Linked DNA regions of Tamandua tetradactyla. The protein of the gene in region 1 binds, or shares a complex with, the protein of each later gene. Links are inferred from orthologs where the notes say so. Each region holds a gene or a part of one and is shown on either strand. Other genes may lie near its edges.

The links.
Region 2: ING3 (region 1) and MORF4L2 share a complex: the UniProt entries of both Homo sapiens proteins name them as parts of the nuA4 histone acetyltransferase complex. The link is inferred for Tamandua tetradactyla from reciprocal best matches to the Homo sapiens genes ING3 and MORF4L2.

Annotation. Positions count from the first base shown.
Region 1 is NC_135327.1:161,384,382-161,391,874, reverse strand, and holds the start of ING3 (inhibitor of growth protein 3), read right to left. Parts: upstream 3,013-7,493; 5' UTR 2,863-3,012; coding exon 2,835-2,862; exon of another isoform or gene 2,789-2,834; intron 2,590-2,788; coding exon 2,518-2,589; intron 1-2,517. UniProt on the Homo sapiens protein: Component of the NuA4 histone acetyltransferase (HAT) complex which is involved in transcriptional activation of select genes principally by acetylation of nucleosomal histones H4 and H2A.
Region 2 is NC_135353.1:70,023,639-70,030,885, forward strand, and holds the start of MORF4L2 (mortality factor 4-like protein 2), read right to left. Parts: upstream 3,006-7,247; 5' UTR 2,895-3,005; intron 1,967-2,894; exon of another isoform or gene 1,671-1,966; intron 1,482-1,670; exon of another isoform or gene 1,304-1,481; intron 1-1,303. UniProt on the Homo sapiens protein: Component of the NuA4 histone acetyltransferase complex which is involved in transcriptional activation of select genes principally by acetylation of nucleosomal histone H4 and H2A.

The DNA.
Region 1 (7,493 bases):
TTGTCATTTCAAAACCTTTTCCATTAGTCCAAGTAGTGTCAACAACACAAGTGGGGTCTATAGAGTTTTTGAATTGTACAGCTTTGGGGTCAAAAGATAATGCTAACAAATTGGTCATATATGCTCAAACACAATCACTTATTGAAAGTACTACTGGATAATCATGCTTTTTAATAAGAAAAAGTGATTTTAAAAATCTTAACCTCCTGTTATACGCCATAAGCATCTTATCATCTTTTATCAGAATTTAAAGTAGTAGACACAATCATTTATCCACTTACTGCACTATATGATTTATTCTACACCTGCTTTTCTCAAAATGTGCCCCAGTAATAATCTCATTCGACATTTGTTAAAAAAGGAAAAATAAATAAATAAAAGGGAGTCAGGCTCATGTAAGTTGAATATATCCTTTTTATTATATACTTTTTGGAGATTTTCAGTGCATAACAGCTTTTTAAACATCCTGAGGTCCTACAATTTTTTTTTTTAATTTCCCTTTGTTTAAATAAGCATTTTCTAAATTTATTCAACTCAAGTGCCTCTTTTGTTAATTCATAACAACTGTAACTTCAGAAAACTCTATTGTAAAAAATACAAGTTTAAAAGAACTATAATTTGAATAATACTAAGTCCAAATTATAAGAGAATTTTAAATTTGTAAGAACCAAAAATTATAAAATGATGGCTACCCTTTTGTCTATCTCTTATCAGATACTATACTTTGCAATTTATTTTAAATATTTTTAATCTTCAGGTCACTCCTATTTTACAGATGATGAAAAACCCTCAGAAATGGTAATAATGGTCAAGGTCAGTGAGGAAGTTTATGAAGCCTTGAAATTAACTCAGAACTGTATGAAGTCAAAATGTGTGCTGAATCCTAAAGAAAACAATAACAAATCCTTGGTACTTCAACTATATTAAAGATGAAATGAATTTTGTGAGTAAACTGGAAAACTAACATGCAATTCACACTTTCACAGTACAATCCACTGAATAAAAAGAGAACGTGGCTTTCCTCCCCTGTTGGTTTTCTAAGATGTCCTTAATTAAACTAATGAGGCTGAGAAATTATATTCACAAACAGTGAAACAGTGGGTATGGAAGTGCGTATGTGTGGTGATAGGGCAGAAAAGTGGGGTGTGTGTGTGGGGGGGCGGGTAATGAATCTTCTTAGCTACCCAAGACCCCACACTCTTGGATGGCTGGTGCTCTGATTTCTTTACATGATACTACTTTTGTCTCTACCTCAAAGTTCAAGTCTTTCTCCACCCCTACTTTTACAAGAAGAAAACATGGCAGCACCAGAAACATTTTTTGTACAACCTGAAGATCAACAAACATAACTTCTGGGCCCATTTTACATGATGACCAGCTATAAATATTATTTAAATGATTTAATTAAGGTACTCCTTAATTAAACACTTCTCCAAACAAAGGAAGTGACATATAGCCAACAAGGTTCTATTGATCACACATTTTAATTATGCATTATATAATTTTCACATTTTTAATTAATTAATGTTAACATAGTATCTCTAGGAGATAACTGAAACAGTTATCACATATTTATCTTCCAATTATGAAAGGTTTGTGAGGTTCTTTCAGAGCATGATGGACATAAATGTGATACCCAGCACTATGTTCTTGTTTTGAAATATAATTCTGTGCTGAGTATTTATCTTCTTAGCTACCTTTTTCGAATCATGGACCCTTTCAAGAAACTTCCCATATAAATAAAATACAACTTAAAAATTGCAGTGTATTCCAGAACACCCTGAAGTCCCTTTTCAAACTCTCTAGTCCCTGAGTCTCCTAACTATAACCTCTGCTCTTGAAACAGTAAGGTAATTTTGGAAAAAAGTCACCCAACTCCCTAGCTATCACTGAAAATGTCTTTGGGTCACAAGCAAAAACCCGCCAACTACCAAAATGTTATTAAAGCAGACACGATGCTTTACAATAAATTCTTATTTCCTCAGTCAATATGAGGCTGTTGACAATAGAAAATGTATCTCATAATTCGTAATACTTCCAAATTTGGCATTTCCAGTTCACCAGGGTTTCTAAAGACCTACATACTACATGTCCTTTGTGCTTTCCACTCGATAATTTTAAATCGAATTAAGTCTAACAGAAATACAGATGTTGAAATCTAAGTTCCACAATAGAAAAGCTCAAGTTAAAATCTTCTAAATATGTATGCTGATGTAAATTCCATTAAAATATATATTTACAGTCTCAAAGAAATGAAGGTTTAGGAACTTTTTTTGCATAGTCCCAAATTCGAAAAAGGCATATACACCTTCCCTCATGCACCCTCTTGTAAAAGCTACGGAAAAGGTGCGTGGGATGGAACGGTAAGATTTCTCATTGTCCTTTATTTTTGATAACTCCTTATGCACTACCAGAGTGAGGCGTAGGACGGTCAAATATCAGGAGCCACTAGCGGCGACAGCAGGCATGTCCGGCACTGAACGCGTGTAACCAACAAGAGCAAACACCACGACTTACTCTGCACCTGCAGGTCCATCTCGCGCATCTCCGTGAAGCGGTCCCGCAGGTCCATTGGAAGCTGCTCAATCACTGTCAAAGAGAAGAGTCCGTCAGAGGGGCGGGGCCAACGAGGAAACACGCGCTTACGTCAGTGCGTGCGTGCGTGCGTCGGGGGGGGTCGAGGGAGCCGGCAGCCCACTGCGAGGCTGCCAGTTACCGTGAGAAAGAAACATCCCCCGCCTCCCCCTCCCTCCCGCCATCCCGCCTGCCCGTCCACTCGCGCTCTCACCCGCCCGCAGCTCCCACAGGCAGCCCCGCCAGCGCCGCGCACTCACTCTCCAGATAGTCCTCTAGGTACAACATCGCGGCCCTTAGAGCTGGGGAAACGAGTGGGTCCAAGGGTTTATTTGTGTCACTCGTTGTCGCCGGAGTTTTGTCCCTTTCAATATGGCGCCTCCGCTAGCAGCACCCGCTCGGCTCCAGGAAAAAAAAAAAAAAAAAAAACACACTTTGGCGCCTGACGGCGCTGGCCTCACTGCCGCCCGGAGCTGTCATTGGTTGGTTCAAGCAATGACGTTATCCGACCGGTACCCGCCCCCATGCCTTTGTGGGAAGTATAGTTTTTTTCCCTTCGGAGGAATAATTGACACGCGGGCAATTCTACAGGTGGAAACTACAAAAACCAGGCGCCATTGCGCACTGTGCGCAACAGAATCTGAAATGCGGTTCTTCTGTTTATTTGTTGATTTTTGCGCTGGGAATGACGGGAGTTGTATGCTCCTGCACAACATAACTAGGGATAACTTTTCACCTGTTCGTTACTGCTATGATTTCATGTCCCGGCGTTTATGAGTCATGAATTTCAAGTAGTGTTAAGGCCAATAGCGGAGGTTCTAATCCTAGAATAACCAGAAAAGTGCGAGCAATTTCGATTGTTTAAAACAGAACTCTGCTGGAATTAAATCGTAGTGTTAACTTCTAGAAATATAAATAGGACACCTGGGTGGCTTCTATGTCTATTCTATGAGAATATGGAATGGAATATGCATTTCCTGGCTAAAAGATACACAAGTACCCAGAAGCCTCTTATAATTAAATATTCTGTTTTGCGGGTTGTTTCGTCCTCGTTCTGACGTAATTGATCATCTGTACATTTACCTGCAGCCACACCTAACAGCATAAAAGCAGTCAGAAATAACTGCTGGAGCCTTACTATCTAATGGACTGTGGTAACAATCACTTTAGATTGTGATTATATTGGACATTTGTTGTCCTGGGCGTTGCCTTTTTCTACCCTTTGACTCCTTTCCCCAAATGTTCATAAGTGATAATATTCAGTTATTCATTGCTCATTTTCTTCCTCTTTTTAAAAATTCTAGCACTCAAATGTTAGGTATTATTGTTTTCTACCTATTTCTTTAACTCTGTCGGGAAATTATCTTTAGTTCATAATCTAATGTTCTATTTTATTTTTTTCAGATTGGAGTTAAAAGTCTCTCTGTGTGTGTGTACATTGTACTATTGTACTCAAAATTTATCACATCTTTTGATCAGGATACTTCTCTATGGTAGTGCTGAATCTTAAAGGAACTTTACCTAAATCCTAATAAGAATTATCTGTCATCTCTACTTGTATTAAAATTTGGTATCTTCAGTTTTCTTTTTTTTTTTTCTGACTGTTTTTAAGACCTTCTGTATGTCTTTAATATTTTTGCAGTTTGATAATGATTACCCTTGGTTCGGATTTTTTTCTTTTCTTCTTCTTTCCCTTTATTCCTCCCTCCCTCCCATCCATCCTTTCTTTCTATATTCCTTTCTTCCCTCTCTCCTTCCCATCTTTCTTCCCTCCCTCCCTTTCTTTCTTACATTTTTAGTTTTATTTGTTAATCATGCTTGAGATTTGAAGGGATTCCTGAATCTTAAGATTGTTGTCCTGCAACAAGTCTAGAAAGTTCTCAGCTGCTATCGCCTTAATGTTGTTTATCTCCCGTGTTCTCCATTATCTCCTAGAACTTCAATTATATATCTATAAGACTTTTTTAGTATCCTCCCTTTCTCCTAACCTTTCTTTCAAATACTCCATCTCAAAACTTTCACCTACTTTTCCATGTGAGAAATTCTATTTGATTCTCTTATCAATCTATTTTCTTCTTTCCTTATACAGATTAAAAATAATTAGTCTATGTTCTGTGTCTTTTAAATTCAGTGCTGAAAATATTATGGGTCTTCTTGTGTTATCGTTTCTTCTGGCTTTTGCTTATGGTAACTTTTTTTTTTTTATCAGTTCTTAATTTGAAGTCTAAACTCATGTTTCTTGGGTTGTAAAAATAATGATTCCTTGAGGGCAGAGTCAAAGATAGGTTTTCCTAGAAAATATTAGAATTTCTGTACATTTTTTTTTGAAGGCGCTATCAACCCTAGGGCCAGATAAAACTCAGTACTTGATGTATATTCTATTGCACAGATAGATTGAATGTGGATTTGACATGTTACAGATTCTCAGGGAATACTTCTCTTCCTTTACTGAGTCCCAGAGTCAGGATAGGCATGTTTCCTTAGTGACTGCTTCTAAGCATCAGATTTATTTCTCACTCACACTTACACTGGGAGTGTAGGCCTTTAGAGCCCCAGATTTTGTCTCCCATTAGAGTTCACCGTTTGTACAGGACTTTGGCTTTATCTCTTGACCACACATGCTGCACAGCTATCAAAGCAGGAGCCCTAGGTGTCCACAATTTGACAGATACTCTCTGAGCATAAGACTGCTTTGGCCCTCACTTTTCTCTCAGCATATTCTCATTTTCCTTTCTCTTTTTTCCCCCTTTAGATCCCCTCTGAGATTGCTTTCATTTCCTACCAGTTCATCAGTATGTTTGATTTTTTTTTTTAAACCTAACATTGTTAGTTGTTTTCAGCAGGAGGGTGGGGTTCGTTCAGAGTAGCTAAAATGGCATGCTCTCAGAAATAGAAGACTCATTTCCGTGAAAAACTAATTCTTCAGGGAGTTTTCCATATTGAAAATGAAATAATAAATTTCAGTTATTTGAAGTCAGTCTTCTGAATTTTCAATTCTAACTTCTCAATTCGGTCAGCATACCTGCACACACCAGAGAAACCAAAAATAGTAAAATTTACACTCTATATATTTTAGTTAATGAACTTAATTCTTGAAATAGGAACATTTGTCAGCAGCAGAAAATTGTGGTAGCTTCTTATATCATTAGATAATATAGTATATAATACTTGGAGTGGTTACCAACTTACAGCCTTTACTATGTTTCTAGGAAGTACCACATACACAGGAATGGTTACCAGTGACCATATTATATCTTATTAGTTTACCTGGGATAGGCTAAAGCTGAGCCTAGGAGATACACCCTTCTGGGGTTTGAAATTGGGGCTGAAGAGGCGCAGAGACATTGTGGCAGAAACGCACTAATTGCAGCGCCGTAGATACATGGTCCTTCTGCTGAGATCCCCAGAGCTGCTCTTGTGTTTTTTCCCTGAATTTTCACCCACTTCTTTAGAGTTTGGAGTTTGTTACTAGCAATGAAAAGAATGTTAACTACAGATCTGCATGTCATAGTAAAAAAAAAAATTATGGAATTTTAGTCATTAATCATTTAGCCTATTTTCATTATACATTATGAACTCCAGAACTGTGGGTTTTTAAAAATTATTTTTATGCTGTGACTCAGCAGCTGTCTTTTCTCCCCCAACTTTATGGTTGACCAATTTTTAAGCATATTTGAGAAACAGGCAGGATAGTTGCAGGGTTTGAATACAGGCAGTGTTAAACTGCACGAGTTCACTTCCCTATTCTAACACTGGTTGTTGATCTTGAAAAGGTTATTTTAACTCTCCATGCCATCGTTTCTCAACTGGGTAATGGAAATAGCAATGGTAGCTAAATCTTAGGAGTGTAAGTTTGAAACGATATAATCTATGCAAAGTACTTAGTTTAATGCAGGGTGCATATTATAATTCAACGAATGCCAGTTGCTATCATTATCTTTATTAATATTATGAGGTCCCCTCCTATGTTTACACATATTGCAGCAGCTCTTTTGTGCCTCAGCATATTTTGAGGCTGGACAACATTTAGAACTTCAGGCTTGTCAAACAAACCTCTTGCTATGATTCTGCTGCGGCCATACTAAATTCAAGGGAAAAGTGATGCAGAGAAGGTTTTAAGAGTAACAAATTACACTGATGATTATAGCTAATTAGAAAAAATTAGAACATGGAGAAAAGATTCAAGACTGGATGCAAAATATGACTGTCCTAGAGAAACAGAAACATGATTCTTCATATAGGATTCCCTCAGAGGGACCCAGACTTAATAACTTGAGGCTCTGCTACTTCCTGATTTTACAAAAAAAGCCACCATCTTGAAATCTTCCTAGTAAAGCTTTGAAATGAAATGTTTTCTTACCTTTGCACCAGACAGTGTGTCCTCCCTGACAGACATCTGTACTTTTGAAAGGAAGCAGAATAAAGTGTTGTTTTAGTAAAAGCCGTTGCCACTCACTAGATCAATTGTAAGCAACAAGGTTGGATAATAGCCTTCAGTAAGTGACTACAGATGTTTCCAAGACTTCTCCTTCCAATGGCCAACTAAAAAGACTTGGCAATGCAATTCCTCCCCTAAAGGAAGATTCTGTTTTCCTGACCTGATTTGTGGGTGTTTTTGATGGAGAACCTGGAAAATGAGGAGAAAGAGAAAGAAGATAAGTGACTAATGAAGGAGAGTTAGGAGTGTATTACTCTTCTGTCTGCTAAAACAAATACCATACAATGGATTGGCTTAAACAGAGGGAATTTATTGGCTCATGGATTTGAGGCTAGTTTTCTCCCCCAGACTGTGACATTCTATGGCTGGTTGCTGGCAATTCTTTTCTGTCACATGGTAGTATGCATGTCAACATCTTCTTTCTCTTTTGGGTTTCATTAACTTCCAGCTTCTGGCTGCACATTGTAGCTTCTCTCTTTCT
Region 2 (7,247 bases), on another chromosome or scaffold:
AACAAGGGGACAGGAAAGGATACAAAACAAAAAGATATGAGATGATGGAGTTCTTCTCCATCAACCAATGAATTTTATCTCACACAAAGGACACCAAAGATGATAAATAATGTATCAGTGTTTCTTTTTGCTTCCTTGTGGTTACATTTTCAAATTTACTTTATTGAGCATCTTTGCTCTAGTTGTTTGATATAGTAATTTTTAAAAGTCTTCTATTAAGGAAAATTTCAAATGGATACAAATTTAGAGGGACCAGTACTATAAACCCACATGAATCCATCATCCAGCTTCAACAATTACCAGCTGAAGGCCATCTTGTTTCATCTATAACCCCACCCACCAGCCTCCCCCCATTTTTTCCTAAGCTCACGGAATAGTTGACTTTTTTATATTATGGAAAATTCCAAAAACATACCAAAGTAGAATAATATAAAGAATCCCAAAGGCTCATCACTCAGCTTAAACTATTAATTCAGGGCAAATCTGTTTCATCTATACCCCTGCCCACTTCCTTCTGCTTAGATTATGTTGAAGCAAATCCTAGTCATCAACATAAAGGCATATTATTTAATCTACAACTATTTTAGTATATATCTGTATAGATATAAATAATTTAAAAAACATAACCACATTCCCATTACAACGCCTAAAATATCGCTATCAATTTCTTAAAAAAGCCATCAAATATTGGATCCGTGTTCAATTTCTCCCTATGTATCTATTACAGTTGGGGTGTTCGAATCAGGATTCAAACAAGGTCTACTCATTGCATGTGGTTGATTTCCAGCTTTCGTTCTCCGTCTCTTTTTAACTTTTCAATATGGAAAATCTCCACCTCCACTATTGTAAAGCAGATCTCAGGTAGCATATTATTTTAATGGTAGAGATGATATGTTTCTTATGATCTACTAATTCATCAGAAGAAGTTGATGGGCAGGTAAGGCAGTATAATAAGCAAATCTGCATAATTTATGCTCTATTTTCTCATTCTATTACGTGGGAATTTAATCTCCATAATAATGGCTAATATCCTTAGGAGCCAGGCTTCGTATTAAGTGCCTTATATGTACTATTATATTTAACCCTCAATACACATCTCCGAGGTAGATACGATTATTATCACCATTTTACAAACATGGAAACCTAGACACAGAAAGAACATGATCTTTGCCCAAGCTGGGCGTTGGCGAGTAGGGATTTAAACCCAACGCTATATGATTGTAAAGCCATTAGGTAATCCTATCTATATACATGAAAATAAAGGGAAATAATCGACCCTTCTTCCCCACCCCCACCCCGAAACCTGAAACGCGAATCCAGCTCTTCCCAGCAGCCGACGTGTGATCACCGCCGTTCCTCCAACCGCCATACTAAAGCCAGGTTTCTCTGGCAACTGATATCCATAGGCAGACACGTCACCCTGGAGGCGGGCTTACATCCTTCAGCCAATCAAATTCGTCTTTTCTAAGTTTTAGAATGTTCTATAACCAAACGATTGGACGAAGACCACCACGTCAGCAATGACACTTCGCCGCAGTAAAGGGGGGTGCTAGCAACCGCTTCTTCACGGTTAAGGTCTGAAGGAAACCAATCATCTTTCTCGTTTAGTGCGCGCTGCAGCCAATCATGCCCGCCCTCTTAGGTTCTTAGCCCACCTTCCAAAAAGGCGACAGCCGTTGGGTCATAAGTCTATAGGACAGGATGTTCACGTGGCCTATTTTCACAACCCAGAGTTCCCCCGATCAGAAGGTTGCTTTTTTTTTTTCCTGCAGGGAAGGATTATGGGTTCCTCCCACCCCCCACTGGGAAAGGAAGTGTCTACGTGGCCTGCGGAAACGGATGGGCGGAAATGAGCTAAGGTTCCTGCAGGTGGGGAAGCAGTTGGTCCAGTTTGGGGCCACGCCCCCGAACCTCTTGCGCAACGATCTGAGCAAAAAGAAAAAAAAGGCCGCTGGAGTTTTTTTATGTGCGTGTGAGTGAGGATGGTGGGTGTCGCGGGCGCGTGACGTTGGGGTCGGTGGGTGTACGCGGACTAACTCGCGTGGCCTTGCGTTGGGCTGTGTGTGTGCGCAGACGCTCATGGCGCTGGCAGATAAGCGTGCGCCCTAAGCACTGGGGCCGGCTTCTGTTTTTGGACGAGTGTGCGCGCGCGTTTGTGTGCGAGCACGCGCGTCTGTCCCTAAACAAGCGATGTGTGTGTGTTTCTTATAGGTGAGCTGTTCTTTTATACTGTTGAATTAGATGGGCGTGTGGGTGCTTATTATATAAGCATTATTATAGTATCATTATTATATACCATTATTATAGTGGTCATTCTCTACTGTGGTATATGTTTGAAAATTATTGTAATGAAAAAGGAAATAACCAATTAAGTCAAGCAGCGAAACAGAAAAAAGGGCCTTTGTTATATATATCAGTATTTCGGTATGCCCCATCAATTCAATTTTAGACTCTAATACACTTTCTTCACACGTTTTTCTCAGTATCAAAATCCTGTTCTAAACTATAGCCCTCCAATGGTTAAAAGGCAAACCTTCATTGGTATACAGTTTCGGTTTGGGGAGATGGCAAAGTTTTGGTAACAGATCGTGGTGAATGTGATTAGCAACACTAAATCATTTATTTGAATGTTGTGAAAGGGGAAATTTAAGGTTGTATATACGTTACCAGGAAAAAAAAAAAAACGCCAAACCTTTCCATTCCCAAATTAGCAATTCTAAGGGGGCAGCTTCTTTCATTTATCCAGTATCCTTTACTCTTGTTCCCGCCCCGCCCAGAAAGTTACGTGCCATTCTGTTGGCACAAATACAATTTTCTGTGGGGAATAACTACATACGACAGCCTGCCCTTCCACTATGGACTCTGAATTTCTGTGGGGGCTGAGGTTCTCTTACCTTTTTGTCGATCTCCAACAACAGTGCTGTTCAGGCGAGTTCACGTTCAGTTAATTTTCCAGAAAGTTCTCTGGATGAGGTTTATACATTTAGATGCTGCCACTAGATGCCGCCAAATCCCAGCAAAGGATTGGCTGTTTTGAGCCCTGGAATTATGGGATTTCCACCTCCTCTGCCCCCACCCCCATGCCCCCCACCCGCAACCTCGGTGGGATTTGTTGAACTCGTCAATCTATGGTGATGGTATATAGTTTTCATTTCTAGGGAACAATTAAAATTAAGTCAACCTTTATTGGCTCAAGATTCACATGCTTTTCCTTGTTTCCTTTTTTTACCGTCCCTTTTTAATTTTTCCCCCTCCATCCCTCTCTTTTATTCCTTTCCTTCTTTTGTCAGAGTTTATAAATGACCTCAGGCACTGGTGTTGATGAACAACCTATCCCTTTCTCTTCACCTTTTCCCCCACATTCTCACAACTCCCGCCCTCCAAAGGAAAAATACAGATGGCTGTTTAGTCAGTAAAGATAGATAACAACTCTGAGATAAAACTTGGACTTTGGTATTGAACACTGATCTTCCTTTCCTCTTGAAAAATTTTTCAGATTTATGTGTTATGTGTTTGTACCCCATTTTTAGTAGTGCTGCTGCTAAAATGTATTGTGTCTTTCGAATTAGAGATCTAGCTTTGAAACCTATTTCATGACTTATTAGCCCTGTGACACTGGACAAACAATGTATGTTCCATGATCCTCACTTTTTGTATGCTTTCTAAGGTTTAGATTCTATGTTCAAATGGATAGTCTCATTTATTCCTCATAAAATCCTTATTAGGTGGTGCTACAAAAAACAATCAAACAAGAAAATCATACCTCTTCAGCTATCAATCATATAAACATACATATATATGTGTGTGTGTATATATACCCACATACACATATATACGTGTATTTGTTTATGTAAAAGGGGAAGGTTAAAACACTGGTTCTCAAAGTGTTTTCTGGACCAGCAGTGTCAGCATCTCCTGAGAAGTTGTTAAAATTCAGATTCATGGGCCCTGCCTCAAACCTACTGAATGAAAAATTATTGGATTGGGATTTGGCAGTGTGTGCTATTACAAGCTGTGTTCTGATGCACACTAAAGTTTGAGAACCACTGCTTTAGAGGGCAGAAATGCAATGCTTATTTTTGTTTGTACCACTAGAGGGTGGTATGGAATATAAAGCAAAATAATAAGTGATGTCAATGTATTGTTAGGGCCCCCTGCATACTATCAATACCATTTTACAGATTAGGAACTAATGTGTAGAGATGTCAAATTATTTTCCCAAGTACACATGACAAGTATGGGAACCAGAATTTGAATTCTACCTGCCTCACAAGCTCAAGCCCTTAACAGTACTCTGTTTGACCGTTTGTAGCTTGGCTTTCTGGGCCTTGAAATGTGTTACAGATACCTTGTTCCTGCTTTGGCTTACTAGAGGGTCAAGAAGAGGGCAGGAACTCAAACAAGGTAAATGGAAATGTTTTGATGATTTTAACTCTCCCTCTCTTCTTCATTTTACAATAGGAAATCACACAAAAGTTTGAGTGTTTCTCTTCTTGTTGTTATAGTTCTCAAAATACTCTTCCTACCCTGTAGCTAGCTTTTTTTAGTTTAGATCTGTGTTGCAGATGATGAAAGTGAGTTAGAGACCGTAAGTATTTTTCTTATGGTCATACAATTTGTAAATAGTGAAATCCAGATAATCACAGGTATATGTGACCCTGCTACTCCGCTAAACTTTCTACTCCCAGGTTTTGAATCTGGTTTTGTTACTTAATATTTAAGTGACCTTCAACAAATTCTTTCATTTTTCTGAGCCTCAGTTTCACCATATGTTACAGGAGAACAAATATTCCTGCATATAATCTTGTAGCTCGACTATCCACTATGGTAGCCACTAGCCACAGGTGGCTATTTAAAAGACATAAAATTTAAAACTCAGTTCCTTAATTGCATTAGCTGCATTTCAAGGGCTTTATAGCTACTTATGTCCAGCTACTGGTGATAGTGTTAGTGTAGATACAGAATATTACCCTCATCACAGAAAATTCTACTGGGCAGCGTTGAGTTAGAGGCCTAGTATGGCACATGTCTCATGATAGGTACCCAAGAAAAATGATTTCCTCTGCTCTTTCCTCTCAGAGTCAGTGCTTGGGGTGTTCTGTGTTATTGGTGGGTCAGAAGAGAGGAGTAACTTACCCAAGGTACTGTGTCAGGGATGTGTCTCACACTGAGACTCACATCTCCTGACTCTATTCCAGTATTCTGTCTAGCAGACCTATCCTTATGCTTTACTCTGCTTACTGAAGTTGCAAGCCCAAGAGTGGGAATAATGTTAATGAACTTTGGAGTCAGGGTGATAGCAGGAACTGAATACCTCCTAAAGTGCCAAGCTCTTTATCTTTGTTATCTTCATGAATCCTCACTGTAGCCCAGAGAACTTAAATACTTACCCAAAGTTGCTCAGCTAGTAAATGGCAGAGTGAGGATTCAGATTTCTAACTCCAAGACCCATGCTTGTCCCATTAAGTCATGCTACCCTCTCAAATATGAATACTCTCCTGCCTCCTTTACTTACTAGTGGGGCAGAGCTTCAGCAGATTCCTGACTCTTATCAGGTCCCCAGAAAATGTTAGTCTTCCTTTTGAATTTATACCTGATTTGCTGTCTTTATTATCTGTTGCAACTGAAAGGGAAAAGATAGCTTTGATCAGTGTTTGTTTGGCTCCAGTGCCCAAGGCCAGACAGATTATGGTCTCAGCCTTCACAGGGCTTCTAGAAACTGCAAGAATCCTGTGTTTATCATCAAGGTCTCCATTAGCTCATACAGTACCTTTGTGCTAATTAGAAACGTGCCACCTGGGAACAAATTTCAGAAAAGTGTCCACTCCAGTGGAATAATTAGAAAAAAATGTTTCTCTCTCTCTCTGAGATGTTACAGCCTCCATCAGGGTAGTTAAAGCATGAATTTCAGCCCCCACTTCTGCCCTCTCAGTTGGGCACCCTTGTTCAAGGTGCAACCTACCCAACAGTGTCTGCTGGCATTGCTTGTCTTGTCTAGTGGCTAAGAGATCCTTACTAGATTTGAAAAGTAGTGGTCTGTCTGCTCTGAGGGGCTGGGAAGGACACCCTGTGGTTTCTGGGTAGGAATGGAAATTGGTCCATTCTAAGGGTAATTTGATTTTTGTTTTCATTTGGTTTTGTCTGATTTATGGAATGATTTTTAAAAGAATATTTGCTTAACATATGTGCTAAAAGGAAAACCTAATATTCAAGGCTAAGTAAAATGCTATATCTTTAATAAGGATATTTTTCTGTTTATCTGTTTATACCTGCCTCATTCCAAAGAGATTTCATGAAACCAATTCAGCAAATTAGTCTGGATCCATCTAGTTCATTAGCCTTTGACAGCCAGAGCAGAAGATGAAGTTAGACATTGGAAAGCTTTATCATTTTAGGGGTTTTATTCTCTTCTAGCTACTCTCTCCTGTAGATGAAATCCCCCCCCCCGTTCTTTTGGCAAAAAGAGGTTACTTCAAATGGAAGAAAACACTAAGATCTCTACTTGAACCTAATCATTGTTGTTCTTGGGTGGCCTTGGGATTCCAGACTTACACATTAATCTCTTGGTTTTCCCTTCCTGAGTCACAAAACCTAAGTTTGTGGTTTTGAGAACCACAGGCTTCACTTGGAATAATTGTTTGAAATCATCCATGTTGTGCATAACTAGCAGAGATGAGAACTAATTCCCACCAGTGAGTGCTGACTCCTACAATATGTGCATTGCCTCATGAGGATTCCTGGAACCATTTTGTCAGTGATACATTTGTTTATGCTTATAACTTTCACCTACAGTCCCCATTCCACTGTGAATGATAAAAGGTATGTGTTTTGAAAAGATCAGCTGTCATATTATTAAAAGAGAACAAACTACTGCTACTTAAAGTACTGCCTCTAAATTGTTGAAGCTTAATGATGGGAACATGATAGCTCATTATACCATTCTTTCTACCTCTGTGTATTTTTGTAGCTTAGTATTTTTGAAGGTTACCAAATTAAATTTTTTTTAAAGGGCTTGATCTGTTCTATGGAAGAGAACATATAGGTTTCTCTTTAGGGGAGTCCTTCCTAACCATAGGGTGGGTAGAACACACACTTCTCTGGTAGTGATATATCACATGAAAATCTGGAGAGGTAGATTATTTTAGATTGAAAAAGTCTCTTTCTCAGAAATTTTGGTAAGTTCTCCTAGAAGGAGAATCTCTTCCCTCCTGCAGCCCCCCTCTACCAGACCCCTCGGAGGGTCTGGT